Linked DNA regions of Tribolium castaneum. The protein of the gene in region 2 binds, or shares a complex with, the protein of the main gene of each other region. Links are inferred from orthologs where the notes say so. Each region holds a gene or a part of one and is shown on either strand. Other genes may lie near its edges. The genes, in order: Polr2K and Xpd.

What was found.
Region 1: Xpd (region 2) and Polr2K share a complex: the UniProt entries of both Homo sapiens proteins name them as parts of the TBP-based Pol II pre-initiation complex. The link is inferred for Tribolium castaneum from reciprocal best matches to the Homo sapiens genes ERCC2 and POLR2K.

Annotation. Positions count from the first base shown.
Region 1 is NC_087394.1:4,866,295-4,881,025, reverse strand, and holds Polr2K (DNA-directed RNA polymerases I, II, and III subunit RPABC4), read left to right. Parts: upstream 1-8,980; 5' UTR 8,981-9,108; coding exon 9,109-9,172; intron 9,173-9,225; coding exon 9,226-9,318; intron 9,319-9,386; coding exon 9,387-9,409; 3' UTR 9,410-9,452; downstream 9,453-14,731. Other genes in the region: Pfk (ATP-dependent 6-phosphofructokinase), read left to right, coding at 2,445-2,731, 5,524-5,704, 5,820-5,840, 6,117-6,276, 7,229-7,374, 7,423-7,675, 8,007-8,231, 8,295-8,517 and 1 more. UniProt on the Homo sapiens protein: DNA-dependent RNA polymerase catalyzes the transcription of DNA into RNA using the four ribonucleoside triphosphates as substrates.
Region 2 is NC_087394.1:27,621,495-27,638,084, forward strand, and holds Xpd (general transcription and DNA repair factor IIH helicase subunit XPD), read left to right. Parts: upstream 1-5,701; 5' UTR 5,702-5,880; coding exon 5,881-5,885; intron 5,886-5,936; coding exon 5,937-6,036; intron 6,037-6,081; coding exon 6,082-6,336; intron 6,337-6,384; coding exon 6,385-6,618; intron 6,619-6,665; coding exon 6,666-6,886; intron 6,887-6,936; coding exon 6,937-7,070; intron 7,071-7,987; coding exon 7,988-8,517; intron 8,518-10,692; coding exon 10,693-10,971; intron 10,972-11,021; coding exon 11,022-11,408; intron 11,409-11,454; coding exon 11,455-11,589; 3' UTR 11,590-11,637; downstream 11,638-16,590. Other genes in the region: GatB (glutamyl-tRNA(Gln) amidotransferase subunit B, mitochondrial), read left to right, coding at 1,647-1,729, 1,778-2,045, 2,093-2,408, 2,456-2,691, 2,735-3,048, 3,105-3,228, 3,275-3,496; Tbce (tubulin-specific chaperone E), read left to right, coding at 3,843-4,027, 4,073-4,853, 4,903-5,188, 5,235-5,536. UniProt on the Homo sapiens protein: ATP-dependent 5'-3' DNA helicase. Component of the general transcription and DNA repair factor IIH (TFIIH) core complex, not absolutely essential for minimal transcription in vitro.

The DNA.
Region 1 (14,731 bases), about 23 Mb from region 2:
CCTTCTTGAATTCTATTCCATTGGCACTAACACACACACTAAACACTAGTCACCGAATTTAAAATTTAAACCGGAAAATTTAGATTTAATTGAGCACACGTCCGTTCGCGACAACGGCAAGTAACAAACTGAATATTTGAATAAATTAAACGAGACGGCACAATAATTTAAATAAACCGCTCGTCTCGCGCTCCCGAAGTGACCCGTGCCACTGCTCGCTGTCGACTGATCCGCCCTCGCCGCCTGCGCCGCACACCTAACCTCCGGATACGTCACGGGTGTGACGTCATCGCAAGTCTAAAACAGCTCATCACCAGAAATATTCACTGGCACAATCCGTCAAATTTAAAAACATTTATACACAGAATTATTCAAAATAGAACATTATTGATCTAGAAAAATTCATTATGACAAATATATTTGACTATAAACGTCTAAAATTATAAAAATTTCGCATGCATTTAATGGAATAATAAAAATGCATGTTTTTATTTAAACAGAAACTCGCAATGTGAAATTTTAGTGCTAAAATTAGTGGTATTGCAATGCGTATAGTCACAAATTGTTTGTTTGTTTTGTTTTGTTGAAAATTCGGTAGGTTCCAAAAGTTGGGTTATGTTGTTACCTGAAAATAATAAAATTTACACTAAGAATTTTGTCTCCATCTCTGCCCTTTTCAAAACGTTATGATAGGATATTTAGGGCCAAAATCTCTACCTTTATTATGTGCTATTGCCAGATAGAGACAAAAGTTCAGAAAGTAGGGTTAGCGTTATTACGCTCTTTTCTGAAGTGTTAAAGTTTAACTTTAATGGATTTTGTATGCTTTTCTGCACTTTTAGAGCGTTATTAATTAGTATTGAATATGTTTAAGGGCAGACAAATCTACCTTGAGTCAACGACATAAACTTTAGTGAGATTTATTGAAAAATGCACTTCTCGCGTCAACCTTTCCATGAAAAAGGGTGTTTAATCGTTTATAAAGGGCGTGTTAATGTGTGTTGTTAAGTTTACCACGTAATAAAACATAAAGTACAACTTTCCTATAAAAGCATTTTGCAAAATTCTTATTCATTATTTTCACTATTTTTCCTCGTTCCTTTGTGCAAACACGCCGGTGATGTGAAATTTTAGTGCGAAAATTAGTGGTATTGTCACAAATTGTGTTAATTTTAAGTCTCCAGAATATTCGGTTTCAAAAGTAGGGTTATGTTGTCATTTGAAACGTAAAAATTTTCACATTTATGTATTTTGTGCACGTTTCTGCTCTTTTAGAGCGTTATTAATTATTGTTGCATATGTTTAAGGGCCGATAAATCTAACGACATAAACTTCAGGGCGATTTATTGAAATGTTAATAGGGCAAAAATGAACTTTTCGTGTCAAACATTTTCATAAAAAAGGGTGTTTAATCGTTTATAAAGGGCGTGTTAACGTGTGTTAAGTTTACCACGTCATAAAACATAAAGTATAACAACTTTTCTATAAAAGCATTTTGCAAAATTTTTATTCATTATTTTTACTATTTTCCTCCTTTCCTTTGTGCAAACGAGCCGGTGATGTGAAAATTAATGCTATAGCCACAAATTGTGGTAGTTTTAAGCCTCCAAAAAATTCGGTTTTAAAAGTAGGGTTATGTTATCATTTGAAAATTTAAAAATTTTTACTTTTATGGATTTAGTGTTCATTTCTGCCTTTCCAAAGCGTTATGATTGGATATTTGGGGCAGAAATCTTTACCTTGTGTCAAAAATTTCAAACAAAAGCCTAGACAAAAGTCTCCAGAGAATTCGGACTTTGTGTGCTTTTCTGCTCTTTTAGAGCGTTATTAAGGGCTGATAAATCTACCTTCAGTCAACGACAAAGATATTTGCTTTTGAAAATTTTCTATTTTTTAAGTCTAATAAGGACGGGTTTATAGAAGCGTCATTAATTTAATTCGCAATTAAATGCGTGATTAACTGATCACGTGATCAAATTCAACCAATTTGATTGGTCATTCGCGTTGTTAACTTTTAACAACGAATTAAATTTTAACAGAGTTTTCTATAAACCGGCCGTAAGAATTTTTAATTTTTAAAACTTATTCATTAATTATAGTATTCATTTTATTTCTTTATTGTTAAGTAATAAGAATACTTCATGTCTTAATAATTGTCGAAATAGTTCGGTAGACACCACAAATAATGTTTAATTTTGACTCCAAGCCGGTCACTCGTTTCAATTCGAAAATAAACCAAATTTTGCAGTTATTTAGCATTGATCAGCGCGTTGGCAACTGAAGCAGATTACGCTTTTATACCGGAAAATCCTGCTGACGTGAACTGGCACGAAAAACTCTGTCATAAGTTGTCTCAGGTACATTTTTCAATAATTTTGTGTAGTGTGTACCACGACTTTCTCTCTATTTTTTGTTGTTTGGCAAAATTAGATAATTTTTTCTAGGAACGCCACATGGGCCAACGTCTCAATATTATTATCGTGGCTGAAGGCGCTATCGACCGGAATGGAGACCCAATCACTGCAGAAATGATCAAAAAAGTCGTCGTTGATAATCTCCAACAGGACACCAGAATAACTGTTTTGGGGCACGTGCAACGTGGGGGCAACCCGTCTGCTTTTGATAGGATTCTGGGCTGTCGTATGGGGGCTGAGGCCGTGATGGCGCTAATGGAGGCTGATGAGAATACAGAGCCGTGTGTGATTTCCTTAGACGGCAATCAGGCGATAAGGTAAAGTTAAATTTTTGTGAGTGTTAAATTAAGTTGGCAACATATGTTTTTCTATGCTATTTTTTCTATCAGTTGTTTTTTGAATCGCATTTTGTAATTAATTTTTATTTGAATTGCCTAGTAACATTAATAATAATTTATGTTGGCAAGCCCTTATATTAAAAAAAAAGAAATTTGTTAAACCTTCTAGAAAATGTTTTCACTATTTTTTGTTTTGCAAGAGAACTGTGGGGTATTATCGATTAAACATAAAAAATGGTAAATTATACGTCTACTTATTTTAATAAACACTGATAACAAAAAAAACAAAAAATAACGTAAAGAAAATACAGGAATTTTCTCCAAATTAACTCTTAGATTCTACTTTGCGTTTTTTAAGTTTTTTTCTGTTTTTGTTTAGAATCCTTCGCGATTATTCTTTAGCCTTGTTTTTGTACTCTCTAGATTTTTTTCAGTTTTTTCTCTTATTCTTTCGTGATCTCAAATCTGAACTCTTCTACAGATTTTTAGATTTTTTTTATATAAATTCTTCTATAGATGTTTATTTGCAATTATTTTCTAAACTTTAGCCAAAATTATTTCTCATTGCTTCTATTCCTTATCAAATTCATATAAATTTTACTAATTCTCTTCAAATGAAATTTTTTGTCTAATTTTGTTTAGATTTTTTCCTGAGTATTTTTTAGCATTTTGTTGCTGAATTTTTCTCTAGACTTTCTTTGATTTTTTGCTCAAATCGTTTCTTAACCTGGACTTCCGAATTGTTTTTCAGATGCAATAAAATAAAGTAAATACAGAAATTTTCTCTAAATTCTCTTAGATTCTACTTTGCGTTTTTTAAAGATTTTTTTATTTTTTTTTCAAATTATTTAGATTATTTTTTAGTATGGTTTCTGTACTACGTCTTTCTTAAAATATATTCTTCTCTGATTCTTTTGTAAACCGTTTCTAGATCTTAAATCGGGACTCTTCTTTGAATTATTTAATAAAACAGCTTTTTTTAGATTACTTTATAAATTCTTCTCCAGTTGCTTCATTACAAGTATTTTTTGGACATTACACTCTATTATTAATTTGCTTCTATATTTTTTCGACTTTCTACAAATTCTCTTTTAGATTGTAGTTTGCGTTTTTTTTATTTTTTTATATTTCTGTTTAGAATCCTTTGCGATTTTTCTCTAGCCTAGTTTTTGTACTATCTAGATTTTTTTCAGTTTTTTCTCTGATTTTTTCCTGATATCAAATCTGAGCTCTTCTACAGATCTTTAGATTTTTTTTTATATAAATTCTTGTATAGATGCTTATTTGCAATTATTTTTTAAACTTTAGCCAAAATTAATTTTTCATTGCTTCTATTCTTCCACATTTTTTCTACATTTTTTAAATCCATGTAAATTTTACCAAGTCTCTTCAAATGAAATTTTTTCTCTAATTTTGTTTAGATTTTTTCCTGAGTATTTTGTAGCATTTTGTTGCTGAATTTTTCTTTAGTTTTTTTTTATTTTTTACTCAATTCGTTTCTTAACCTGGACTTCCGAATTGTTTTTCAGATGCTTCTTCACAATAAAATAAAGTAAATACAAAAATTCTCCTAGATTCTACTTTGCGTTTTTTAAAGATTTTTTTAGTTTTTTTTTCAATCATTTAGATTATTTCTTAGTATGGTTTCTGTACTACGTCTTTCTTAAAATATATTTTTCTCTGATTCTTTTGTAAAACCGTTTCTAGATCTTAAATCGGGACTCTTTTTTGAATTATTTAATAAAACAAGCTTTTTAGATTATTTTATAAATTCTTCTCCAGTTGCTTCATTACAATTATTTTTTTTCGACTTTCTACAAATTCTCGTTTAGATTATACGTTTTTTTATTTTTTTTTCTGTTTTTTGTTTAGAATCCTTCGCGATTATTCTTTAGCCTTGTTTTTGTACTCTAGATTTTTTTCAGTTTTTTCCTGATCTTAAATCTGAGCTCTTCTACAGATCTTTAGATTTTTTTTATAAATTCTTCTACAGATGCTTATTTGTAACTATTCTCTAAACTTTACCCAGAATTATTTTTCACTGCTTCTAGTCTTTTAGTCTTTTAGTCTTTCACATTTTTTTCTACATTTCTCAAATTCATATAAATTTTACTAACTCTTTTTAAATGAATTTTTTTCTTTAATTTTGTTTAGAATTTATTCTGAGTATTTTTTAGCATTTTGTTGCTGTACTCTTCTCTAGATTTTTCTTAACATTTTTCTTTGATTTTTTTGCTAAAATTGTTTCTTGATCTGAACTTCTTCCAGATGCTTCTTCATACTAATTTTTCCATATTATGCTTTAACATTATTTGTGTTCTCTTATCTAGATTTTTTCTAAAATTTTTCTCTGATTTTAAGCCGTTTGTGAACTTTTAGATCTTATAGATTCGTTTATAACTTTTTCTCTAGATTTTTTTTATAATAATTTGGTGAGCTGTATTTATTTTTTTTTAATTAACACTTTCTCTACATTTTCCAATTTTTTTTACATTATTCCAGTTTCGATCAAAATTGATCTGTTATACAACTTATTATTCTAAATACAAAGTTGGATAGTTCAAAAAGTGCATTTTTTCGTTGTAATAAAAAAATTCTTTACATCCTATTACTACTCATTTTTTTAATGATCTTAAAGTTTTCTAAATATTTTATTATCATTTGCCAAAATTCTAAAAAGAAGATTATTTTCTGTGTTAATTAATAATTAATTAATTAATAGTTAATTTTAAAGTTATTTTGCTCGATTCCAAAATAATTGTTTCTCTAAGGTTGCCGTTAATGGATTGCGTGAAGCGAACAAAAGCCGTCTCACAGGCAATGGCTGATAAGAAATTTGATTTGGCGGTGGAATTACGTGGAAAGTCATTTATGCGCAATTTGGAGACTTATAAGTTGTTGACTCGACTCAAGCCTCCAAAGGATGCATTTGATGAGCAAGGACATGGAAGGGTGAGTGTTATTTTTTAAATGTTTGCATGTTTGTATGCGTACATAATGTGATAGAAAATCGGCTGAAGTTTGTTTTCATTTGTTTTTGCAAAATTTTGATTAATTTCTGCTTTAGCGTCTAACTGATCATTGTTCGGTGAGTATGATGCTTAAAATTTGGCTTTTCAATTTTTCGAAATCTTTTTATTTGGTTCTTATGTTTTGTTGTGTCGTCACTTTATTTGTGTCATGTATTCAATTGAATTCAGTATCAAAATTTCAAAAATGTTCTTCAAATGTTTTGAAAATATAGTAATTACAAAGATTTCTGCTTTATAGTTTCTTTGGCTTTTAACACTTAAGTGGTGCTAACATTTTTGTGTTTAATTAAACTCTGTATACTATTCTTTATTTCGCTTGTGTTGCCATTCAGGAAGGTTTCACAGTGGCCGTAATGCATATTGGGGCTCCTGCTTGTGGCATGAATGCCGCTGTACGTTCTTTTGTACGAAATTTTATCTACAGAGGAGACACAGTTTTGGGCATTCAGGAAGGAGTTGAAGGTCTTATCGCTGGCAATATAAAACAAATGGGTGTGTATCAATTTTTTTATTTTTAGCTAGTTTTTTGGGTAAAAATTACTCTATTTTTTGTAGAAAAAATATAGCTATTTTTTAATTGAGAACAGATTAGAAACTGTATTAGATAGTTCTTTCAAAAGCATTTACTTACTTTTGTTTTTTCTTCCACTATTTAGTTTTTTCTTGCTTCTTTCTTTTTCCATCTTCATTTTTTACATATATTTTTTTGCTCATAAACACTTTCAAAGGCTCAAAAGGGTCAAAAGCAATAAATTCTCGATGAAGAGAACTAATTTTTCGACTAATTTGAGTAAAATTTTGCCTAATAAGTGGTGATACAGCTCTCGAAAAAACAAAAATAACGTCTTCTTCGGTTAAACAGTTGTTTTTTCACATAATTTCATGTAGAATATTGCGAAATTAGTAAATAAATAACCAACTTTTCAACTCAAAAACGCATGAATAACGTTTGATTTTTTGTAACCGAGATTTTCGTTTAAAAATATGGGATAAAAAGCAGCAAACGTATCGTAATTTTTAATTATAAGATCCTCTCACACTTTCTTATGTCATATCATTTTTTTTCTACCTTTATTTTTGTTAAATCATCTTATCGCTCAAAAAACCGTCTTTAAAAGTTTGAAAGAAACATGTGGTTTTTCGATCATCATTAACTTCGTTTTCGGATAATTTGGTTAAAATATTGCAAAATTAGTAACAGTAAAATAATTACTCTGAACAAGATTTAATGATATAATTAAAGTTATTAACTTAAAAACGCAGTAAAACTCTCGAAAAATAGTTTAATTAAACTTTTTCATGCAAAATGGACGAAATAAAAAAAATTAATAAGTTTTTTCCATATAAATATGCGTAGACACTCAGGAAATACATTATTTTTGACGACAATAGTTAGTTTTTTGTTTTGTGGGTAAAATATTGAAAAATAACGAATTTTTTTCAGATTGGGCCGAAGTGGCTGGTTGGGTTGGCATCGGGGGTGCAAATCTGGGCACCAAACGCACCCTTCCTGGCAATCGTATGGGTTTAGTAGCCGCCCGATTGGCCGAATTTAAAATTCAAGGTTTACTCATTATTGGCGGCTTTGAAGTAAGTTTTAACTTTATCCGGCTCGAAGAACTAAAAATTGTGGTTTAGGCATTTGCAGCCGCTGTACAATTTCTAGACAGCCGTAAAGATTTTCCAGCTCTCAATATACCAATCGTGGTAATCCCCGGAACTATCAGTAACAATGTACCAGGGACGGAATTTTCACTAGGTTGTGACACAGCCTTGAACGAAATCACCGAAATTTGTGATAGAATCAGACAGTCGGCTCAAGGCACGAAAAGGAGGGTTTTTATTATTGAAACCATGGGCGGGTATTGCGGATATTTGGCCACACTTGCAGGTAATATCGATATTAAGTTGGCAACATTGTATGAAATGAAGACAGTTTGTGTCTCAAAACGTAAAATATTCGACCCTATACAGGTTGTTTCAGAACTACTTAGTTTTTGACGTAATTTATTTCTTCCAAAATCCTCCATTTTAGAAATAAAATATAGGAGTTCGTATTACTTGTATTATCTTATTTCTGATACACCTTGTATATTTGATGCATGGGGTAATTAAATATCTATTAATGATATAAAAAAGGTAAATATTAATGTTTAAGTTTGACAGTCAATGTTGCCAACACATTCATTATTCAGCATCGCCAACTTATTTTCACATGTTAGGTCTCGCTGGGGGTGCGGATGCTGCGTACATTTACGAGGAAAAATTCACAATTAAAGACTTGCAACAAGATGTCTACCACATGGCTACGAAAATGTCCGAAGGTGTACAACGTGGTTTAATTTTACGTAACGAAAAAGCGTCAGATAACTACAATACCGACTTTATCTACAGATTGTATTGTGAGGAAGGAAAAGGCTTGTTTAGTGCCAGGATGAACGTTTTAGGTATTTATATAGACGTTTGTTTGTTTAAAAATTTAATACTTTTTTTGTGTGTGTATTGTTAAGGTCATATGCAACAAGGGGGTTCCCCCACACCTTTTGACCGCAATGTTGGTACCAAAATGGCGTCCAAAGCGGTCGAATGGATGATCAACCAATTAAAAAGCAATATGAGTTCAGACGGCTCAGTCAGTTGTTCTAGTCAAGACAGCGTCGTTCTGTTAGGAATCGTTAAAAGACAATACAAGTTTACACCAGTCGCTGAGTTGAAAGAACAAACCAACTTTGAGTACGTTTATAAATTATTAAACTGTTTTTTATAATTACTTTAAATTGTTTTAGCTTGCGTATGCCTAAAGAGCAATGGTGGTTGAAACTGCGCCCTCTATTGCGTATTTTGGCAAAACATGATTCGACATATGAGGAAGAAGGGATGTATATGACGATTGAGGATCGCAGTTTTATTAATTAAAGGCAACCGTAGCCATTTATAGTGAATTTGTATTTTTTAGCTTGTTTTATTTATTTTATTGTGTAGTTTATTTTATTAAATGAGATATTGTAAACAAATTTTGGCCATATTGTGATGACAATATCGATATTTGAAGACGGGTCAAGTGTTACAAAGTACGATTCGAGCTGGGTATGTGGAATGGACGTATTATATTTCAATAAAATTTTAATAAACTATCAAAAATTCCTGCACCTTTTTGAATTTCGCGCTTGTATACGTTGGCGTTGCCAACCGTTGGAATAACAAAAAAAAGATGAAATTCCCTAAGTCGGCATGGTGGCGTTGTTTTTATACAAAATTTATTAGAGGAGAAAACTACGTTCCCGCTCGTTTGTATTAAAAATTGTGCTAATTTAAGTGATTAGGATGTCGGAACCTTCGACCAAAGACTCAGGGGCCACGAAAACTCCCATGGTTTACATTTGCGGAGGTACGTGAAAGTGAGGTTATGTTTTGATTTGAAAATTTTCGAAAATTATTTAGAATGCCACAATGAGAACGAAATAAGGCCGCGGGATCCAATCAGGTGCCGGGAATGTGGGTACCGTATTATGTACAAGAAGAGAACCAAACGATGTATCCTTTTATTATCAATTACTAACACTTGCAAATTTTCAGTTAATTTTTCCTTAACTTTGATCCAGTGGCCGTGTTTGACGCCCGGTGAAAAAATTGTAATTAATTAAGGTTGGAATAGAGTGTTTTTTACATTGGGGTTATTATTTGCAAACCTGTCTTTCCCCTTTCCTACGTCCGACAATTCAAGCACCTTGGGCACCACCTGGGGCAATGCATCGATTTCCCAGGGCCCAGTTGTAGCGAAAATTTCAAGGTCTCGCGCAAGGGCAGTGCAGGACCACTTTCTGCAACGCAACCTCCTCTTTAACCAAATTCAAGGTCGTCCATGTGCGATCAATAAAACTAAATACACGCAGGTTCTACGCCGGTGTCTGAGCGCGCCGGTCGCGACGTGTGGCTTCGCCGTTGAAAACGCCGAGAGTAAAAAATTCGCCGATTTTTGGACTGACAATTGTCGGAGGAGTGAAGGTGGTGCAGGACGTGGGGGCCAATGATGGCCGTCTAGGGCTGCGATAACTGCGTTGTGTTATTGCACCACGTGCTGAAAGGGCGCCGGCGAGGTTTACCGTTGCGTGCCGGTTTCCCGCCAGCGCACTGAGGTAATTTTGATTTTTGAAGTGTTTTTTTGATTTTCCCCAAAATGTTTTTTTGAGCCTAAGAGACCACAACCATGGTGTGATTTTATTAAATTTTATGGAAAAAACCTATCACGTAGGATAGGTTTTAAGGTTTTGAGACATTGGACAGCCATGCATTTTGTCGGATTTTTTTTTTTTTTTAATTAATTACGGCAAAACTGTTCGAATATTATGGAACTATTTCATATGAAACTATGTAAAATGATCCTTCGTAAAGAATACCTCAATATCTATCAGACAAGATGGGTTTTAATTGATTTTGAGACACTTGTCAATTTTCAATTATCAAGAAATTGCAAAAAACCGAATTTTTCATTTTTTTTATTTTCTCAATTACTGCAAAACTATTCTAAAAAGTGGACCATGTTGGTGCTGGCTTATGGAAAATGTCCCGGTGAATCGATTGGCGTCGAGAAAATTGTCAAATTTCGAATAGTTTTTTAGTTATGAATTTTTTTAAATTTTACTTATTTTTGCTTTCTTCTACAATTTTCTCGAAAGCTATTAGTCGGAGAACAATAGTCTTTTTTGCAGAAGATAGATAATTAAAAGAGCTTTTCAACGATAATAAACTTCATGGTGTAATCTCTAATAGTTCCGGAGTTATTACATGATAAATGTTCCAGGTACCGAAAATCGACAAAAATCTCGACGAAAAGTGGAACAATTGCGACGAAACTATAAGACCGACAGCAAAACGGTTTGTTCCATTGTAAAGAACAGATCAAAATCTATCAAATAGGATGGGTTTTGGCATTTTTTTTTTTCTCAAAATTTTGAATTTTTTGGAGACAGGGGGGGGGGGGGTGTTAACAAATTTTTATTTTTTTTATTTTCTCAATTACCGCAAAACTATTTAAAAAAGTAGAACTATTTCAATTCTAGCTTATGTAAAATGATCCGGGGAATCGATTGGTGTCAAAAAAATTGCAAAATTTCCAATTGTTTTTTAGTTATGAATTTTTTTAAATTCTACATATTTTTGCTTTTATATCTAATTTATACGAAAACTATTAGTCGGAGAATAATGTTCTTTTTTGAAAAATACAGATAATTAAAAGAGCTTTCCAACGATAATAAACTTCATAGGGTAATCTCTAATAGTTCCGGAGTTATTGCTCGATAAATGTTCCGGGTACCGGAAATCGACCAAAATCGCGACAAAATTGGAAAAATCTTCAAACTTCAAAAAATCGAATCTATTGACTTTTATTCTACTTCTAATAACTCGCGAAGGTTGTAAAGGCATAGAAAAATTCATAAAACTTTGGTAGCGTGAGTTTTTTTTTTAATTTTTGTGAAGGTTCTAAGAGTTCACCAAAATTTTATTCTAGTAATTTTCAAATTTTAAATCACGTGAAAAGTTGATATAATACGTAGAATGAGCCGTAGAATTCAATGGAACAAACCGTTTTGTTATAAGTTTATGGTTTTCAGGAAAAACTTGCTAGTTTTGAAATTATTACGTTTATTTCAATTTTTATGTAATTTTTTAAACACACGTACGTATGGCTTGTTTTAAAATAAAATTATTATTATTATTATTATTATTATTATTATTATTATTTAATGTTAATTACATAAAAGAATTGTAGCAAAATTCTGTCATGTGCAAGAAAATAATTCCAGTATTTTTAAGAACAAATGTGGATTCTGTGAGATTATTACTTTTGAGATAAACTTTTTTTTTCTGAATATTTTCCATTTAGCAGATTTCCACAAAATTTTAAATAAAAATTATGTTCTCTATTTCATACGCGAACAATACAAGTTACTTCAGAATAAATAAGTAAATGGGGAGGGAGGTTTGTTATTCTCCCATTTTTTACATTCATTAAGTGAATTCTTTTTTTTTATTTTTTAAACCGGGCTTTGTTTACGACAAAATGCGGAAATGGTACATTTTTGTAGTTTATTTACGCTGTTAACGTTTCACTGCTGTAATACGAGGCATCGGAATGATAATAATATCCCAGTTGTAATAATCATAGTAAGAATTGGTCGTTATCATTTTTTATCTTGTTTATTCTTTTTATTTTTGCTTTGTATTTTAAAAATGATAATGTACCTACAAAATAACAAAATCTAGTATTAAGCTAGGGAACAGTTGCCTGTTTAATAACTAATTCTCTGATTTATCTTAGAATTATTTTGTCAAAGGTGTATTAGGTCATTTTGAAAGATAAAAGGTGTTTTGAAAATCAAAACACATTTATAGTCGAATGAAATAATACATAAATTTGTGTTTTTTTATATTTAAATTCCTGGTTAAAGAGGTCTGTACTTCGAAAATAAGTTGGCAACATTGAATAATGTAGTCACAGAAGATACGATACTTTTGATTATAAGATTTTTTTGTTTCTACTGTCTTCAGTATTGCCAACGAAATTCGAAAGTCACAGATTCATGTTATCGCTTCGTGTTATCGGTAGAGTTAGACTTTTTTTAAACTATTTTTTGCAAAATATTCATGGAGGTAAGATATGAATCATCCTGTATATGTTTTCGTATTTTCGACGAAGTTTTTATTTGATTGGTTAAAAAGGATAGCAAATGTGGATGTATTTAAAGATGTCATTGACATTTAATTATGTTGGCACACTGACTTATTCCTAGTAATTCCCCTGCCAATCAGTGTCACTACTCCAAATTATTCACAGTGGCCAACCTAATTTCAGCGTCACAGCCATCTTGATGGAAAATTTCTGTCGACGCATTTTAATATTTTTAATCCCTCTTTTGTAGAGAAATTGTCCGCCACCGCCGCCCCCTCCGAAATCGTATTTCCCATCGTTACGCAACCGAAAACCCCCTTCGTCGCGTGCGCGTGCGCACTCCGCGTCCACCTAAAATCCAGACATCCATGTATCCAAAACAAGTGCTCTCGCGACAAAAGAAACCGAAAACGCAGTGAAATTAACGAGTTTTATGTAATGTCAAACTCGGAAACGCTCTTCTCGTGTGCTAAAGTGGCCCCTCTGACATGTTTCAGCCAATGTCAGCCCGAGATTAGGACAATCAGACGAGGTAAATACGTAGAAATCAAGTTGGCGTAAATGCGGTGTTGTCTTGTCCTACAGCCGGCGTGGCCTTGAAACCGTATTTTCAAGATCTCTGTTGGCCTAGGCCAGGGCCTACTGTCGTTTCGTTTCACTTTCAAATTGCTATTTTCGGATCAAGTCACCACCGCCGCCGCCGCAGCACACTTGTCCTTTCTTCTTTTCCGATGCGTAATCGCAATTGCCGTGCATTGCTCTTCCGATGATAACAAAACAAGTAACAACAGAGCGCTGGTTTGTTTTATTACGCCGTAACATTTTTGAGTGAAAGTTGGTTGTACAGGTGGAGCAAAAGTGCGCTCCCCGATTTACTTTCTTCCCTCTGGTTTTATTACGACGAGGGCCGGCGAGGGTGACTTGATCCGGTGCATTTATTCGGGAGTGCGGGGTTGGCTGTGGAACAGGAGCCGACTTGATTACTTGTTTTTAGGGTTTCTCTTTTGTTTTAATCGGACGCGCGTTCGGTTATCTTATCAGTATTACGTATGACGTTCGTTTTATTCGATTGCAGTTGTGGACTTGTGTGTGGTTTATTAGAAAAGTGCAGGGAAAACCAACAAAGGACTGAAATGTAATAATAACACCTGTTGGTTAGACAAGGTACCTCTCTCAGGTAAATAAACACGGGATTTTGGTGGATTTTACGACACGATTTCATCGTAGAAAGCGGCGAGATTAAGTAAAGATTAAATAAATTATTATCGTTGCATAATGGAGTAAACAAAGCTACTTTGAATTTCTTTACAAAATATGTAATAAAGAGACTATTGTTGGAAGCGGCAGTCTTTTGTTCTGTTTATGTTTACAGTGGTGACTGCATGAAGTCATGATTTTTTTTTATTAAATTAAATTTCCATAAATTATCACTAATTAGTGTCATTTTCCTCGAAAGATTTTTATTTTAATACACGCCTCATTTCCATTCATTCATGACTTGAGGAGGTATAAATTGCGATAATATCTATCATATTGCATTTATTTATACACTGTTGCCACACACCTGGTGATTCACCGCAAAATCAGTTTTTAAAAATACAGATTAAAATTTTAAATTTTTGATTAAAGTGAGTTGTGACTTTGAATTAAGTTGGCTACATTAAATTCAATGTAGCCAACTTAATTTCGAAGTCATTGGCCACTGTGATCTGAAATTTAATTGGAGGCATGATAGTGTTAGAAACTTATACAGGGTGATTCAAAAGCGTCGGACCAACTCGTATGGTTAAGGGACGTTTATTAAAGCTTATAAATGAAATCAGATTTTTTTCTAAGCAATTTGATTTCTAATTTTCTTTTGTTTTTTTTTGGTTTTAATTGTTTTTCTTTTGCTTCCAATGATGTCATATTTAATTATTGTTTACTTTGTGAGTTTGTTAAATGTTTGTAAGATTTGTCTTTTTCGCTAAATAAATTCAAAAACTGAACTAAAAACCTAGCTATGAAGAGCTTTATTTCGTGAAAGAAGGCTCATACAATTTTTTCTCGTAGGAACTTTTATCTCAGTGTAATGTCTTTTATCACTTGGTCAGATAAACTTCAGAGAAATGTAAAATAATTTATTCAGCTAAAAATAATTGTCAAGGAATGTGGTTGTGGTCTACAAACTACTTCATTGTTTTGCATAGTTTGTTTAACAATTCTTTGTTGTAAAAACAGGCTTAAAAATATACCTTATCAGTGTTGAAGTTTTTATTTTAAGAATTTACTTCCGTG
Region 2 (16,590 bases):
TTTACCCGAACGTGGGCACAAATTTCCAAACATTTTGTTTCAGAAAGTGAGTGAATTCCTGAGCATTTGAGGCAGCTCATCAGCGACTTGTTTGTCATTTTCCATACTTGTCACTCATTTAAAAACCCGATCAACAACATAGAAAACAGATATCAATCAATGCCACTGCCTTATGTGTGAGCCTCGGTTAATTAATGTGAAGTTTATCTCGAGTGGCCAGCGTTCCCACCTTTACGGCAAATTATTTATTAATAAGACATTAACCTTGAAAACAGGGATAACCACAAATAAGTAAACTTGCATCCGAAAATAAACCGGTATGAACGTAAAACCTTGACTTACAGCGTAACGCAGCAATTGAGACAATTAAGGATAATTCGCTTAGCCCCCCAGATTATAACCTAATAATTAATCTGTTTACGGCTGCGACCTGGCCACTCGGGCCCGCAAGGACATCCATTAGCCCATTACTTAGCCAAATTTCCAGCTTGTGCGCTAATAGTCGCTATTAACGCTGAGATAATTACAAAAATACATAATTGTTTCTCACCTGGTAATAAGAGTCGGCCATCTTGAATCCAAATTTACATCACTCAAATGTGGAATTCGGACGGTTTGGCGGTGTTTTAACGGCACATAGCGGTTAGAATGAAAGCACATATGAAATTAACGGCTCTGTTTACGTTTCGTTAAATATTCCAGTTCAATTGTAAAATATTTGGCCACGATTTTTCTACATATCACATTACGACGCGCACTGTTTTGCCGGCGCAACACGACTGAATTAGTTTGTTTTCATTGGCTCGCTGAGAAATAGCATGAGATGGAGATATCGGGCCTCGCATGTGGAGGATGGGAGTACAACAGGTGCTCCGATCTAGGCGGCGAGACAGCGCTGGGAATACGATGACATTTAACAAAAAATTTAAAAAAATCGTTAATTAAATTTGAATTTCATTTAATTCCGAGGAATTTTCAGCCACACATCGCCACCAGTTTAATAAATACACACAACGTTGCATTTCTTTGGTTAATTGGGCATTAATTAATTAACACTTCCACAATCATTAAAAATTTCTCTCATCAGTTTCCATTAAAAATCTTTGAATAATTTTTTTTCAACTAGTACTATTCGCTACTAGTGATAGGTTTTCCCGGAAAATGGGCAAAAAATTTATCGCTAAGAAAACACAGCTTGTTTGTCGTAATTTTTATTTTTAAACGATAACAAAATAAATATTTGTAATTTCTATTCGGTTAATTTAATTAGATAATAAGCCACGAATTTTTGTAATACTGTACGGATAAACTGCAAGACTTTAAATTTGACGCCGTTTTAGCGTCATCAGGTGCACCAATACGAATTCAATCAGGAAAAAAAGCAAATTTTATAAAACCACTCAAGAACACCACACAAATCTCACCCATTCTCTTGAAAAAAATTACTCTAAATTACCACAACCAACAAAAAATACAACCATTTATTTAGGCTCCTATCGTGATAACGTAAACACGTTCTAATTTTTTATGGTTGGCCACTCTGGACCTGAAGGTCATTGTTCCGATTTTCAGGTTATCTCCAAAAATTTGTATATAAATTAAAAAAAAAGGGAAACTGTTTTATAGACGTGTTTAAAATAGGCAAAATGTTCAATAAATTTACCTATAATTTTCGCAGGGGCTGTCATTTATGTCAAAGAACCAGACGTTTATTTTCTAGTAAAGCGGGGTATGGGGGCTAGATTTGCCCAATTTAGACTCAAATTTGGATTTTTAGCGCCAACAATCAATGGAACAGTGTCGTGGGCTTGGAAGTTCACGCCCAAATTAACACAACCAGTAAACTATTCTCAAGTGCTTCAACCAAGTTTTCGTCCCCCGTGAACGCAAATGTGGCCCTTTTCGACTGCGCAATTCCCGGCACTTTGCCCGTACTTAACAAAAAATGCGTCGAATTCGGGGTTTTAACGGCGCTAGCTTTGAATTGTCGAATAAATCCCGTCTCAACTTTTGACCGCAAACATTATTTTTACGCAGATCTCCCTGTAAGTTGTTGACCAGTTTTTTTGGTGATTTATATTTTTGCGTTGAGGCCGGTTATCAAATAACCCAGCAGAGACACCCTCTGGCCAACGACGGCCGTCTCGAATTCCAAGTCTTTAGCCCCGGTGTTCACAAAGCCCCCTACAAGAGGCAAGTCCGCATTAAGCAGCTCCAGCTGGAGCAAGACAGCGGAAAGAGCCTCCACGACACTGACCGCAGTCTCGTTGATTTAAACCGTGCGGGGGTTCCCCTAATGGAGGTCGTTTTCGAGCCCGATTTGAGCGACGGCGAGGAGGCCGCAGCCCTAGTTAAGGAATTAATCGCGATTTTGCAACGCATTGGCACTTGCAGCTGCAAAATGGAAGGTGGGCCCCTTTTAAAATCAATGGCAACATTCTTACGAAATTTTTAGAGGGGGCCCTGCGGGTGGACGCGAACGTGTCCATAAATAGACAAGGGGAGGCTCTGGGGGTGCGCACGGAGATCAAGAATATCGGGTCGGTGAGGGGCGTCGCGGGGGCGATTCGGTACGAAATCGAGCGCCAGATTCAAGTGAAGGAGTCTGGGGGGGCTGTGGAGAATGAAACTAGGGCTTGGGACGCTTTGGGTAAAGTCACAGTTTCAATGAGAGACAAGGAGCAAGTGCAGGTTTTTTTTTCAATTTTGTGTCAAATTTTCGAAATTTGCTCAGGATTATAGGTACATGCCGGAGCCTAATTTGCCCCCCTTGCACGTGGCAATGGGTCCGGTGTCTCAAGGGTGCGTCAGTGTTGACTCCCTCAAAAGTTCTCTCCCGGAATTACCGGAAGGAACGAGAGTTAGACTGAGGGAAAGCTCCGGTTTGACTCTAGAGCAAAGCATTATTTTAGTGAATGATAGTTCGCTGTTAAATTTATTTGAGGACGTTTGGAGGGCGAAAAAAATTGAGGGAAAACTACTCGCCAACTTGTTGATAAATGAGTACACCTCGATTCTGAATAAGATGGATTTAGAACCGAGCCAATTGTGAGTTAAGTGCGGAAACATAGTAGTTTAGATCGGGATTAAGTTACATTTTTCAGTTCTTTTAATTCTGACTATTTTGGGGAAATTGCCGTACTTTTGCAAAATGGTGAAATCACAAGAAACACGGTTAAGCTCGTCTTGGACGAAATCATCCAAGGGAGCACAAAACGGCCACTTGAGGTTTGCAAGACCGAAGTTGTTTCACTTACGAATTATTTGTTTCCAGATCGTGAGAGAAAAAAACTGGTTACAGATTACCGACGAAGATGCGTTGAGACAGTTATGTCAGGAGGCCTTAGACCAGAACGAAAAAGTTGTGAAACAGTACAAGGGCGGAAAAACGAAAGTTTTTAAAGCACTTCTTGGATACGTGGCGACGAAAAGTAAACAAAGAGCAGACATGAAAAAATGTGATAAGATTTTAAAAGAATTGTTGAATAAACAGTAATCATGTTAATAAACAGTCGTAATGTATTTGTTGTGTTTTATTTTTTCCTTAAATTCGGGTGAAAACCCGGAATCGTTTGGCGCAAAATATCCTAAGTCTCGACGCGCATAAGATTTCGTGGGCCGATCACAAATGTCAAAAAAATTGTGATTCATATTACTTTTAAATCAATAATGTGTTGTATGTATTGAAATAATTGTAACAATTTGGCCGTACGGTATAAATTTAGCTTGATTCTAACCCACCTGACTTGAAAAAAGTAAGTTTTTATACCCTTTTTCCAACCTAACCTCACTGTAATTTTGCGAAAAAAATCATCACAAATAATTTTGTAGACATCACAGCTATGACAAATTCGCACTCTCCTTGCCAAATTGGGGACCGCGTCGAGAGCGGCGGTTACATCGGAACGGTAAAATACGTGGGCCCCATCGAGGGCAAGCCCTCAATTTGGCTCGGGATCGACTGGGACAACCCCCAGCGGGGCAAACACGACGGCCGCGTCAACGGAGTGCAATATTTCACCACCAGGTATTGATCCCCATTCATTTTTACCCCGACTTTACCAAATTTTAGAAACCCGACTTCAGGTTCCTTCATAAGGCCTGAGAAGGTCAATTGCGGGAAATCAGCCCTAGCGTCGATTGAGTCGCGCTACGGCCAGTTCGAGGATGAATTCACCGCCAAAATCAACAAACAGAAGCAGCTGCTTATCCAACAAAACATGAACGCGCCTTTTTTGGAAATGGTCGGCTTTGACAAGGTTTTCCACAAACAGAGCGACTTCACGTCGTTGAGAATCGTCAATTTGCGTGACCAAGGGATTAATTCGGCGGGTCCGCCGCTACGACTCGGAGAAACGTGTCCGAATATTGAAGAGTTGGACATTTCGAAAAATTTGCTAGTGTCTTGGGAGAGCGTTTTTGAGATTTGCCGCCAGTTGCCGAGGCTTTTTTGGCTGAATGTTAGTGAGAATTTGCTGGACTTGCCAACGATTAGTGAGAGTTTTCCAAACGTGACAACTCTGATTTGTGGGTGTATGGACTTGGACTGGGGGCACATTTGCCAACTTGGACGCATTTTCCCGTCAGTTGAAGAGTTCAGAGCTCCGAATAACAAAATCCGGGGGCTTAGCACACCTGAGGGGTTTTTCACCAAATTAAAGTTGCTCGATCTTGAAGGGAATAACATTGAGTTTTGGACGGAGGTCTGCAAATTGGGGGATTTACCGCACTTGGAGCAACTTATTCTGGAGAATATTGGGCTCCAGTTGATTGAGTTTGAGGGTGATTCCCCCAAAGTACAAGCTTTCAGAGCGATGAAAAAATTATGTGTTGTGAAAAACTTGATCCGTGAGGTAAGACTGAAACTTTGTTCGTTTCCGTTCATGAGAGGATTGATTTTAGTGGCGTTCTGTGGCTGAGTTAAATCGGCTTGAAAGTTTAGAAAATCTGCGATTTTCCAAAAACCCCATCACAGAATCGGAAGAACCTGACACTATCCATCAAATAATAATCGCAAAAATTGCCAACTTGAAAATTTTAAATGGGGTTGAGATTGAAGCCACTGAGAGACGGGGGGCTGAATACGACTACATGAAAAAGTACGGTCTTGAATGGTTGGACGCCAAGGGTACCAACAAAGAGGCTGATTTTCTCAAAACCCACAACAGATATTTGGAATTGATACAAAGTCTGTTTATATTTTTTTTGTTACGTTTTTACGGTTATTTTTGCAGAATATGGCGAGCTGGAAGAGAGTGAACTTGTCTCAAAACCGAAAATTATTAAAAATACGTTGGTCCAATTAAGTATAGTTTTTGAGGACTTTACGGTAGAAAAGAAAGTGCCTCTCACAATGACTGTGCAAAAACTTATAGTCCTCACACAGAAAATGTTCAGCTTGAGTGGAAGGCCCCACTTGATTTACGCCAGCAAGAGCGATCCAGAAATCGAGATTCTTCTAGAGGATGAAATGAAAGAAATCGGAGTTTACTCAATGCAAAATGGTGATAAAATTATCGTGAAAGACAAAGTGTGATTGATTTTGTGTTGTACAAAACCATTAATTTATTCAATAAAGTTTTTAATAAATATTTTCCAAATAAAAAGGTGTTTTCTTCTTGAATACTTGAATACATTACATAACCCTACTTATTATAGAATCTTTGAATAACTGATAGAATACGTGGTTCCAGCTCACAGGACTTAAATTTTTAGGCCCCCTTCTTCCTTACTAATCGATTAGCAGCAATAGAAACGTTCCTATTGTTAGAAAATATTACAAAAAATTGCATAACCGCACTTTTTTCCAAACATGCCATAACCTAAAAAAACTACCGGGTCAATGTAAACACCACGGTTTCACCCAGCACCATACAAAAAATGAAGTAAGAACCCGACTATTGGCACTTGAGTTGCCTCAAAACCGAAAATTTTAGACTAAACGTCGATGGCTTAATCGTGTACTTCCCCTATGACTACATCTACCCCGAGCAGTATGCCTACATGTGCGAGCTCAAGCGGGCCCTGGACGCCAAAGTACGCTCCCCGCCTTTCACAGCCCCTTTTTTATGTTAATTTTAGGGCCACTGCCTTTTGGAAATGCCCTCAGGGACGGGTAAGACCACCACCATTCTCTCCCTCGTTGTTGCATACATGCTCGAGCACCCCCATGACGTCCGCAAGTTGATCTACTGCTCTCGTACTGTCCCCGAAATCGAGAAAGTTATGGAAGAATTGAAAAAACTGCTCGAGTATTATGAGAAGTTGGACGGGGAGTACCCCCATCTCCTGGGGCTGGTTTTGTCCTCACGGAAGAATCTATGTATTCACCCGGAAGTAGGTGATTTGGGGGTGCATAACCGGGCTTGATTTTGCAAATTTCAGGTGAGTACTGAGCGCGAGGGTAAGATTGTGGACGGAAAATGCCACGCACTAACGGCGAGTTACATAAGGGAGAGGCACAATTACGATGATACAACTCCCATTTGTCAGTATTACGAAGGTTTCGCTTTGGATGGCAAAGAAAGTACGATGCCGTTTGGGGTTTACAGTATAGATGATTTGAAACAGTACGGACGGGACCGCAACTGGTGCCCCTATTTCCTGTCTCGTTTTGTGGTACTTGAGGTCACACTTTACATTGCACTTCTGACCCTTTTTCCTAGATAAGTTACGCGAATATCGTAGTCTACAGTTACCACTATTTACTAGACCCCAAGATCGCCGAAGTCGTCTCCAAAGAGCTGACACGAGAGTCAGTTGTTATTTTCGATGAGGCTCACAATATCGATAATGTTTGCATCGACTCAATGAGTGTGAAAATCAACAAACGAATTATCGATCGAGCTTCCGCCAACATCCAGTTATTGGAACGTACTGTGGCCGAGTAAATCCCCGGAAGTTTAAGTTTTCTCTGGATTTTTTAAAATTTTTTAGGATGCGTGAAGACGATCACAAAAAATTGCAAGAAGAATATCAGAGATTAGTTGAGGGGCTGCGCGACGCTAGCGTGGCGCGAGACACTGACGTCATTTTGGCCAATCCGGTCTTGCCCGACGCCATCCTCCAGGGTAATACCCGAATTAGATTTATATATTCCGTGACGTTGAAATTAAGTTGGCAACACTGAGTGATATAGACACAGCTTAATGCGTTGACAAAAATGAAGAAATTTAGTGATTTTTAGCCAAAAAACTTTGTACTTAACAGCTTGAGAATTTAAAAAATAACACTGTTTTCAAAGTTTGATAATTTTTAACTTATTTTTAGCAAAATTTCACTCGAAAACGAGGTCATTCGAATGAAACAAACTCAATAGTATAATTTTCGATTTGTGTATAATTTTTAAACATGTTTAACAAAGTTAAAAAACTAAACAGATCTGACCTGACCTGACCTGACAATAAATAAATAAAATAGGTAGCATCAATTGCGATATATTTTCCTGGATTTTCATCCTTTTTTCAACGAATTTTTTTGGAGGAAAACCTTGTTTTTTTCTCATAAACCTGGTAAACACTCGGTAAAGCCAAATTTGGTTGACCTAATTCAGTCGAATATTTTTCAACGAAACAATCTTCAACGAAATAACTGTTTCTAAATAAAAACACATGAAAAAAGCAAAAAATAATGTCATTTTCGATTAAATAAGAATCTTTTTTCTGCTGAAATCTCTCAAAAGTAAACTTATTTGCTTATTTTTTGTCTTATTTTTGAGGGCATTATTCGAAATCATTGAACTTCAGGCTAAAACAACCATACAAAATGCTCGGAAAATGCAAAAATAATCGCATTTTCGATGATATTTTGTGATTTGTCCGCCTGGTTTAGTAATGCTTTGAGAAGAATTTTGTAGCTCAAAAATGCACTTAAATGCTAGACAGAGGCAAAAATATTGCCATTTCCGAATTAATTTTTTGGGCTGATTGTTATTTATTATGTCAGTAATTCGAAAAAAAATTAAATTGCGTAATTTATTAATTTTCAGAGGCCGTCCCTGGAAATATTCGCAACGCCGAGCACTTTGTCAGTTTCCTGAAACGTTTCCTCGAATACCTCAAAACTCGGCTGCGAGTCCAGCACGTGGTGCAAGAAAGCCCTGCTGGATTTTTAAAAGACGTCCAATCCAAAGTCTGTATTGAACGAAAACCGTTACGTTTCTGTGCTGAACGCTTGGCATCTCTGTTGAGAACTTTGGAAATATCAGACTTGACCGACTTCAGTCCGGTCATTTTAGTCACACATTTGGCCACTTTGGTGGCCACTTATACGAAAGGTTTTACGATAATCGTAGAACCGTTTGATGATAAGACACCGACGGTGTCAAACCCGATCTTACATTTCAGTTGTTTGGATTCGTCGATTGCCATAAAACCGGTTTTTGATCGGTTTCAAACCGTGGTTATAACCTCTGGAACCCTATCCCCTCTAGATATGTACCCCAAGATTTTGAACTTCCATCCTGTGATCATGTCTTCGTTCACTATGACGTTGGCCAGGCCTTGTTTGCTACCAATGGTAAGTCCAGAGGTTGGTGGAGTTCATCATTGACCATTGAATGTTAAGTTATTTAAATAAATTTGCACAAAATTTATAGTATATGTGCGGAATAAACACCGTTTATTTTTTGCATTTTTGAACGTAGCTTTTCATGACTCTTTGTGAGGAAGTTTTGGGGTAATTATTCAAAAACCAAGAATAATAAAAAAAAAAAAATTGAATCATTTTTAAGGAAGAAAGTAGGTATGTTTCAACATTTTTTGGAGAGTTAAAAAAATGAGGAAACTTTTAAGTTTTATCACATAAAAATATTGAAAGATTGGTGTCTCTTACTTACAGTAATTAGTAATTAACTAATTACTCAAAAGATGCGATATTAACCTTTAAACATGAAAAAAATTCACTAGTGGAAAAAATGAAAATTTTAGCTAATAACAACGCTTAGGCCATTATTCGTCATTTATTACAGAAAAATAACTGAACCATTTATCCGTGGAAATTACTATAATTTATTTATTGAATAAGAACTGAATTAACATTTAAAGTCAAATATCTTTTGATTTATTAACTTCAGACATAACATACAGTTTTTAGAAAAATAAAAAAAAATGGATGTTCCATTTAATTAATTAGGAACCTGTTCAAAAATCGTGCCAAAATAATGCAGTTGATGTTCCGCAAATTTGATAAAAATGCAACTACGATATATTTCACCATTTTTAAATATAATATGGTCTGATTAGTTGGAAAAAGATGAACAAACGTGTCCGTAACATAAACACTCATTACAACTTACAAAAAAGTAAAAACTTACCCTTTCTGTTGTCCTTGGAGCCCTGAAATCAAAACATTGATATCAAAAAAGATTGCTTATGATTTAAACCAGTTAATAGTAGGTATTTCAGAAAATGGTAACAGAATTTTTTGTAATTCGGAAGTTGAAAGTTGTATTACTGTGAAAGAGTATATTGGATCTTATCTTTAGAAATTTCTACTATTAAGTTCAAAACTTTTGATACTTTTGATTTAAAATTAATCAATAAATCGTCATTCATTCCGAAAAATTTTATTCTTCAAAAATAATAATTACATTATTAACAAACTTGATAATGTACCCATTATTTTATTTTAATTTATTTTATTCGTAGTATTGGCAAAAAACGCTTGGTTCCATACCATATTCAGTGAGCGGATAAATTATTATTAACTATTATCTTATTAAAACCTAAGATATTTTATAATGGCAGAAATGCTCGAACAAATCAATTTCTTTTTAGCCATGTCGATAGATCTTTTAATTGTTGAACCAAAATAAATAAAAATAAAAAAAACTATCCAAAAGAGTGAAAAGCGTAAATGTTTAATACCATCAAAAAACAAACACAATTTCAAATATCTAACAAAAAATAATTCTTTTATTTAATTAAAATTTTCGAAATGTTCCCACATTACGAAGAACTTCCGGACTTTTCAAATCGTCTAAATTTTGTGGTCTATTCTCTGTTTTCTCTCCAATTGTTTCCAAAAATACAAAAAGAAGGTAATAGGTTTGTGTTTGAAACTACTCTCATGATTTTTTTTGTCGAAATAACAAATTTATTAGTTTGCTTTTTGTTAGTAGTATTAAAATTTATGTTGTCACCTAACATTTCTAGAACGGGCTTTCGTTAAATTCTATCGGTTGCGTAACACCCATCAGATCATCTCCATTCACTACTTTAGCAAATATGCAACCAATAAAAATCTATCCGACGATAAGTGGTCTTAGAAACAGAGGGTAAGATGTTTCGAAGAGACTAAAAAATTAGGGATTCCATTAAAAAAATTCGAGAGACCATTACTCAAAAACCTAAAGTTGTAAAATTTTCAGTTCAATTGAAAAGAGAATTAGCCTGTTGGACAATTTTTGCATTTTAAAGTTATGTCATGGAATATCTGTAGGGTGAAAAACGATATCTTTTAATGAAGACGGCGAAAAAATCATACGTATAATAATAGCACTGGAGGAAGAAAGTCTCTTCTCTTCCTTAGATTACTGTACTCTGCTTCGCTTTGGGCATTAGTTCAACTTCGGGAGAGAACCTATGTCTGTCCTCTCTTGGTATACAAATAACTACGAGTGTGGTTTTAAATAATTTTGCCGCTAACTGTATACTTTTAACATCATTATCATCATCTCATTGGTCGTTTTAGATCGTGTCAAAAGGCAACGACCAAGTCGCAATTTCGTCAAAATTCGAGACACGCGAAGACAATGCTGTTATCCGAAACTACGGCCAACTCTTGGTCGAAATAGCCGCCAATGTCCCCGACGGAATCGTCTGTTTCTTCACCTCTTATCTCTACCTGGAATCGGTCGTGGCCAGTTGGTACGACCAAGGCGTCATCGACAGCCTCCAAAGATACAAACTCCTCTTCATCGAGACCCAAGACTCGGCAGAAACGAGCTTCGCCCTCATGTACTACATCAAAGTATGTTTTTCCCCCAGCCTGTCCACAGTCGGTAAAGTAGGAATTTCCAGGCTTGCGAGTCGGGCCGCGGGGCCGTGCTGCTCTCCGTCGCGCGGGGCAAAGTCTCCGAAGGGGTCGACTTCGACCACCACCTGGGGCGCGCAGTCCTCATGTTCGGCATTCCCTACGTGTACACCCAGAGCCGCATCCTCAAAGCGCGCCTCGACTACCTTCGGGACCAGTTCCAGATCCGGGAGAACGATTTTTTGACCTTTGACGCCATGAGACACGCGGCCCAGTGCGTGGGGAGGGCTATCAGGGGCAAGACCGACTACGGTATCATGATTTTCGCCGATAAGAGGTTTTCCAGGTCGGATAAGCGGTCAAAGTTGCCCAAGTGGATCCAGGAGCATTTGAAGGACTCTCTGACGAATCTGTCGACGGAGGAGGCGGTCCAGGTGAGTTGGGGGTTGTGAGGGAGAGTGGCGTGAGTTTGACTTGCAGATTGCCAAGCGGTGGTTGCGACAGATGGCGCAGCCGTTCACTAGGGAGGACCAGTTGGGGGTGTCTTTGCTCACTTTGGAGCAGTTGCAGAATTTGGAGGCGAGTAAAATCCAAGAGCAGGCGCAACAAAATTGATTTGTTATTATTTTTTACGTAATAAAGTATTTTCAAGAAAAAATGTTTTATTCCTGATTTCCTGACCCAATTGAGCGTAAAATGCACTTACACTCCTTTAGTACGAGGTATCTTGTTGATTGTTTCCGGTGTGCGCTGCAAGTTCAGTGAAGGAGAAAACTAGTTACGATTTTACTTGGAATAGTACTAATTGGGTTTGAAGTTAGTTAGAATATTTAAAAAGGAAACTGACGATTATTTATTAGACAAGAATGCATAATAGTTGTTCGTAACCAGAAATTTTAGGTTTTTTGCGTGAATAGAACGTAATCTGAATGCCTGACTCGTTTTTATGTCACCAATAAGAGAATATATGGATAATTCTGGTTTCTGATAAGTAGCGAGATTGCTGATGGTTGATATTAAAAACTGGATTTCCGTAATTAACTCGGATGAAGATAATTATCTACACTCATTCGCAAACTATTTAAATAGTTGTAACATTTCGCAACAGAAAATTAACGATTTAATCTGAAAAAAAAACAACCGAGAGGATAAAAAATATGTTTGGTGCAATGCATTATATTGTACAAGCTCGTGCTATGTAGCATGTTATACACTAATAACAATTTTTTTTTTAATTCTCAAACTAAGGTAGGTACGCTTAGGGTATGTGCAACTAATAATACACAAGAAATATTCATTAAGGTTCAATGAACTGTTAAAATAAAGGATTTGCGTGAAATAATTTTGGAATAATGTATAAGTAGATATACATACAAGTGTTCTGAATCCTCACACTGACAACATAAAATTATCTCGTGAAAAATCTGGTAACAGATTTGGACGTATGTCTCCTATTATGTATGTATTTTATTTTTGTTAGCAATTTGCAATACTGCAGTCGAAAACGATTGTGCTTGACAAATATTATACGTAAAACCTAACAAAAATATTGAATTATTGTTAGTATATGGTTCGTTTAGCTCTTAGAAATGAAGTTAAGAATTGTCAACCGAATTAGAAATTCAAAATCACCTTGTAGAAAAAATTAAATCCAAAATTATAACTGATTGAATCTTATTAGTTGTCATAATACGGTAGCAAAGTTAGGTACAAGCAATATTTAAGCGGTGTCAACTCATGAAAAGATAAAATTCCTCGTCAGACAAAGCTGAAAACTACCCAGATTAATTTTTTTGACTGATTACCAAATATGATTTAATTTCTTCCTAGTAACAATGAATGTTAGTTTTTGTTATAATTTTACTATCAGATTGGGCGAATATTTCGTGAATAAACTTGAATTTTTGGCTCAAAAATCTGTTTAAGAGGTCGAAAACTACAAAAATTAAACAACATTTCGCCTATTTTGGTACTTTTAAAACCATTTTCGCCCAAATTTCTTGTTTTTTTAAGTTTTTTTAAAGATAACTCAAAAGACTCACAATTTTTTTCCTATACTTATTATTTATTAAATATTAAAGTGGTAGATACATTAATCGTACAATAAATGGGCATAGGGTCAGTTTACAGAACGCGAAATTAAGATCCAATTCAGAATTAAACTGATAAGTATAAGTTAATTATAAGTATAAATATAAGTATAAGTATACGTCTGAAGTAAGTATTTTTCATAAATAGGGAGAACTAAATTCAAACAGGCGAAACGAAAGAAAAAATAGCTAAATTCTTAGCTCACGATATGGATATAAATTAATTTAAAGCCGGTTTATAAAAAGCATTGTTAAAACTTAATTCATTGTTCAAATTTAACAGTTTAACAACGCGAATGGACCAATCAAATTTATTCTATTGGGTCATATGATCAGTTAATCACGCATTTAATTGCGAATTAAATTAATGACGCTTCTATAAACCGGTCCATAGACATCTACTATAGTTCACTATCTTCTTAGAAAAATAGACAGAAACGTAATACCTCAAATTTTCAAGGTAAGCTAAGAAAAACTCCAGAAATTTTTTTTACAACAAACGTGATTTATTGTTCAAAACTCTGCGAATACGCACATGAAAACTCCTAAAAGTTATTTTTTTAATAATAATAATTAGGTGCCTTTATTTCTTATTATTGTGTGTTATCTGTTTAATATTTTTGTTTGCCTTATCCATTATTTAACTATAGCCAATTTTTTATTGGCTAGATAGAAACAACTGCAAAAAAACTGATAAAACATTAAAAAAGCTGAAATCGAATTTAAAAGTTAACAATTAATAGTAAGGAAAAGAAATTCCAAGACTTGACTCCATCTCAGTTTTCGTATTGCGAGTTAAGAATGTAAAAAAAATACAAAATGTTTAAAAATAAAAAATGCCAACGTACTAATTCAGACTTTAAAACTTAAAACTCAGAGATTCAAAACTAAAATTAAAACGACGATATTGAAATAAAGAATTTGATTTCTAAATACGGTATAACCTCAGACCTAAACAAGTTCAAAAATCTTTGGAGGAACCCAATGAATTGAGGTTTTACTGTAAGCACCAGTACTTAGTTTACTACTCGAGACTATGCAACCAACAATACACCATTCTTTTTTTGATTGTTGAAAATTTCTTTCTTTGGTTTTTTCGCTTTTTTCCAAACTTGCCCCAGCAATCCCACTTATAAATCTCTTCGATAAATTGTCTTCGGCTAGTGCCCCTATCCCGCCCCCTTTATCTGCAACTGGGGGCAATCCCTTGCAATAAATAACTACCCCCTTCCACTGGCCCCAAGCACCCCTCGGCCACATCCGGAAAACCCCCAATTGCGGTCGGAATGCGCCCCCCTCGGCCCATCTTCCTCGCCGCAATAATCAGACAGGTTTCGGTCCCAGTCGGTCATTCAAGGTAGTAAGTTCAAAGATAGCCTCAGGTGCACACACACACATACACACACCTGCCAGGCCTCCGAGTCGGTGCCTCACAGATAGTCGCATGTTCGTCCACCTGTCGGGTGTAAACAAAGTAGTCCGTGGTGCAGTGTGATCGTCACATGTTTTTCCCGGTTTTCGCTTGTTTCGGGATGGGTGATGGTGCTGTGCTGGGATTAAGGGACACGGATTAGGGACACTGGGAGTAAGTTGAAGGAATGTGGGGAATGTGGAGACGTGACGGCCTTGCGGCCGGGAAATTATCGGCGGTTTCGATCGGGAAATTCGATTGGGTTTGGGCAGAAAACTTTAAATTGAACAGCGCACAAGCTTAACTGTTATTATAAACAATTATAAATGAGTGACACTGACATATTTACGACTGGTAATAACAAACACGTAATGGAACAGTGGAGGTTGGTCGCTTGATTGGTATTAAGAGCGTTCAAATCTCTCGGTTTATTTACCGTCAACGATTTATTTGTGGATAATTTCATTAAAAAAACGATTTGTATGCTAATAAACACCAGTTCTATTCTATTCAATTCGGATTTTTTGTCCCAAAATTCCGGATTTTTGTGTAAAACAATTAGGATAAATGGAGGTTAAATTCCAACAGACAAACACAAACAGATTAGCAGGAACAACAATATTATAAAAAGCCTCGTAAATGAGAGTAAACAGAGTAATCTAGTAGCTAAAAAACTGAACAAACATTGAACAGGAAGGTCTGAATTGGGTTAGAAGACTGTTTTGTTTGAACATTATCGAGAGCTCAAGGTGGAACAATTACTGCTAATACCTCGGAATTGGTTCATTTCATTTTGATCTGGGAAAATCTAGAGATGTGGTCTACTAGTTCCAATAAATTACTCTCAACAAACATGTGAATATTTTTTTCAAAAAAAAAAAAACAAAACATACAATTTCATTTTTAACATAATTGCAAATATCCAGCTTTCAAACTCAACTAAACGTGACAATTGTCATGTACATACAATATTTGTACACAATATGAAGTATAGAACCAAGACATATTGTAATTTTTTTTTTGGTTACGCGAATAAATTTTCGTTTTATTGTTTTTAAATGGCAACTTAATACCAAAAATTGAATTAATTTTGTTGTAATCATTTTGGTTTAGACTGTTTAGGAACTTTGTCGCGTGCCCACTCTTGAATGTCGTGTTCTCTGCGATTTAATTACATTTTTTTAAAATAAGGTAATGTTCTGGTAAAGATCTGGGGTCACTTATTTTTTTCCAAAATTTAAAAACACCAACGAAAAGACCTAATCTTTCTCCCAAAAATGCCAAATACTATATCAAAATGTTTAAAACTTATAAAGTTATCGATTTTTTTAAAGGAAAAAGGTGTAAATTTAATTTATTAAATTGTAGCCAATTTAGCGTTGCAGCTAGTTTTTAAATAGTATTTAATAATTTCTAATAAAACGCAGTCAAATAGAAAGTTTTAATCATCGATTTGCGATAGAATTATAGAAAAAAGAAGGAAAACCATTTGGAATAAAGGTGATCATTTGAATCTAAGTATAAATTAGTATAGTTGGTAAACTGGGGCAAGTTGAAAAAAATTATCAATATCTTCAAGAATGATCATCGATACCTACCACCAAAGAAGACAAAGAACGAATGAGCTATGTCTAATCAAACTATTTTATTTTAAATCTAAACTAGTTTATTAAAATCCAAAATTGTTTTTTTGAATTTTTTAAGTATGAGACAGAGAATTGAACAAATAAAATTTTGAAATGTGTACAGTCACGATCATAAAGAATGATACCCCGAAAAACGCAGCCACAAATCTTTTCGATATGATACGGTTAATGTGATTTAAACCATATTTCTCAGAATTGACCAGATTTTCCGTAGCATCAATGTTTTACCTACCCTTACTCGTAGTTTATTTATGAAATTAAATAAAGATGATCAAAGTTTTTAAATGAATACAAAAATATCTATTTATAGAACAGGTACAGCTGAAGCAAAAGTAAAGCAAAAGTTTTCAATCAAGTGGATTTTATTTTTTTAAATGCTACATTTATGACGTCATTTGTTTTTGAGTATTGACGTCATTTTTTATTCTTTGAAATGTCAACCGACATTTTTGGTTACCGTTTTATTTAG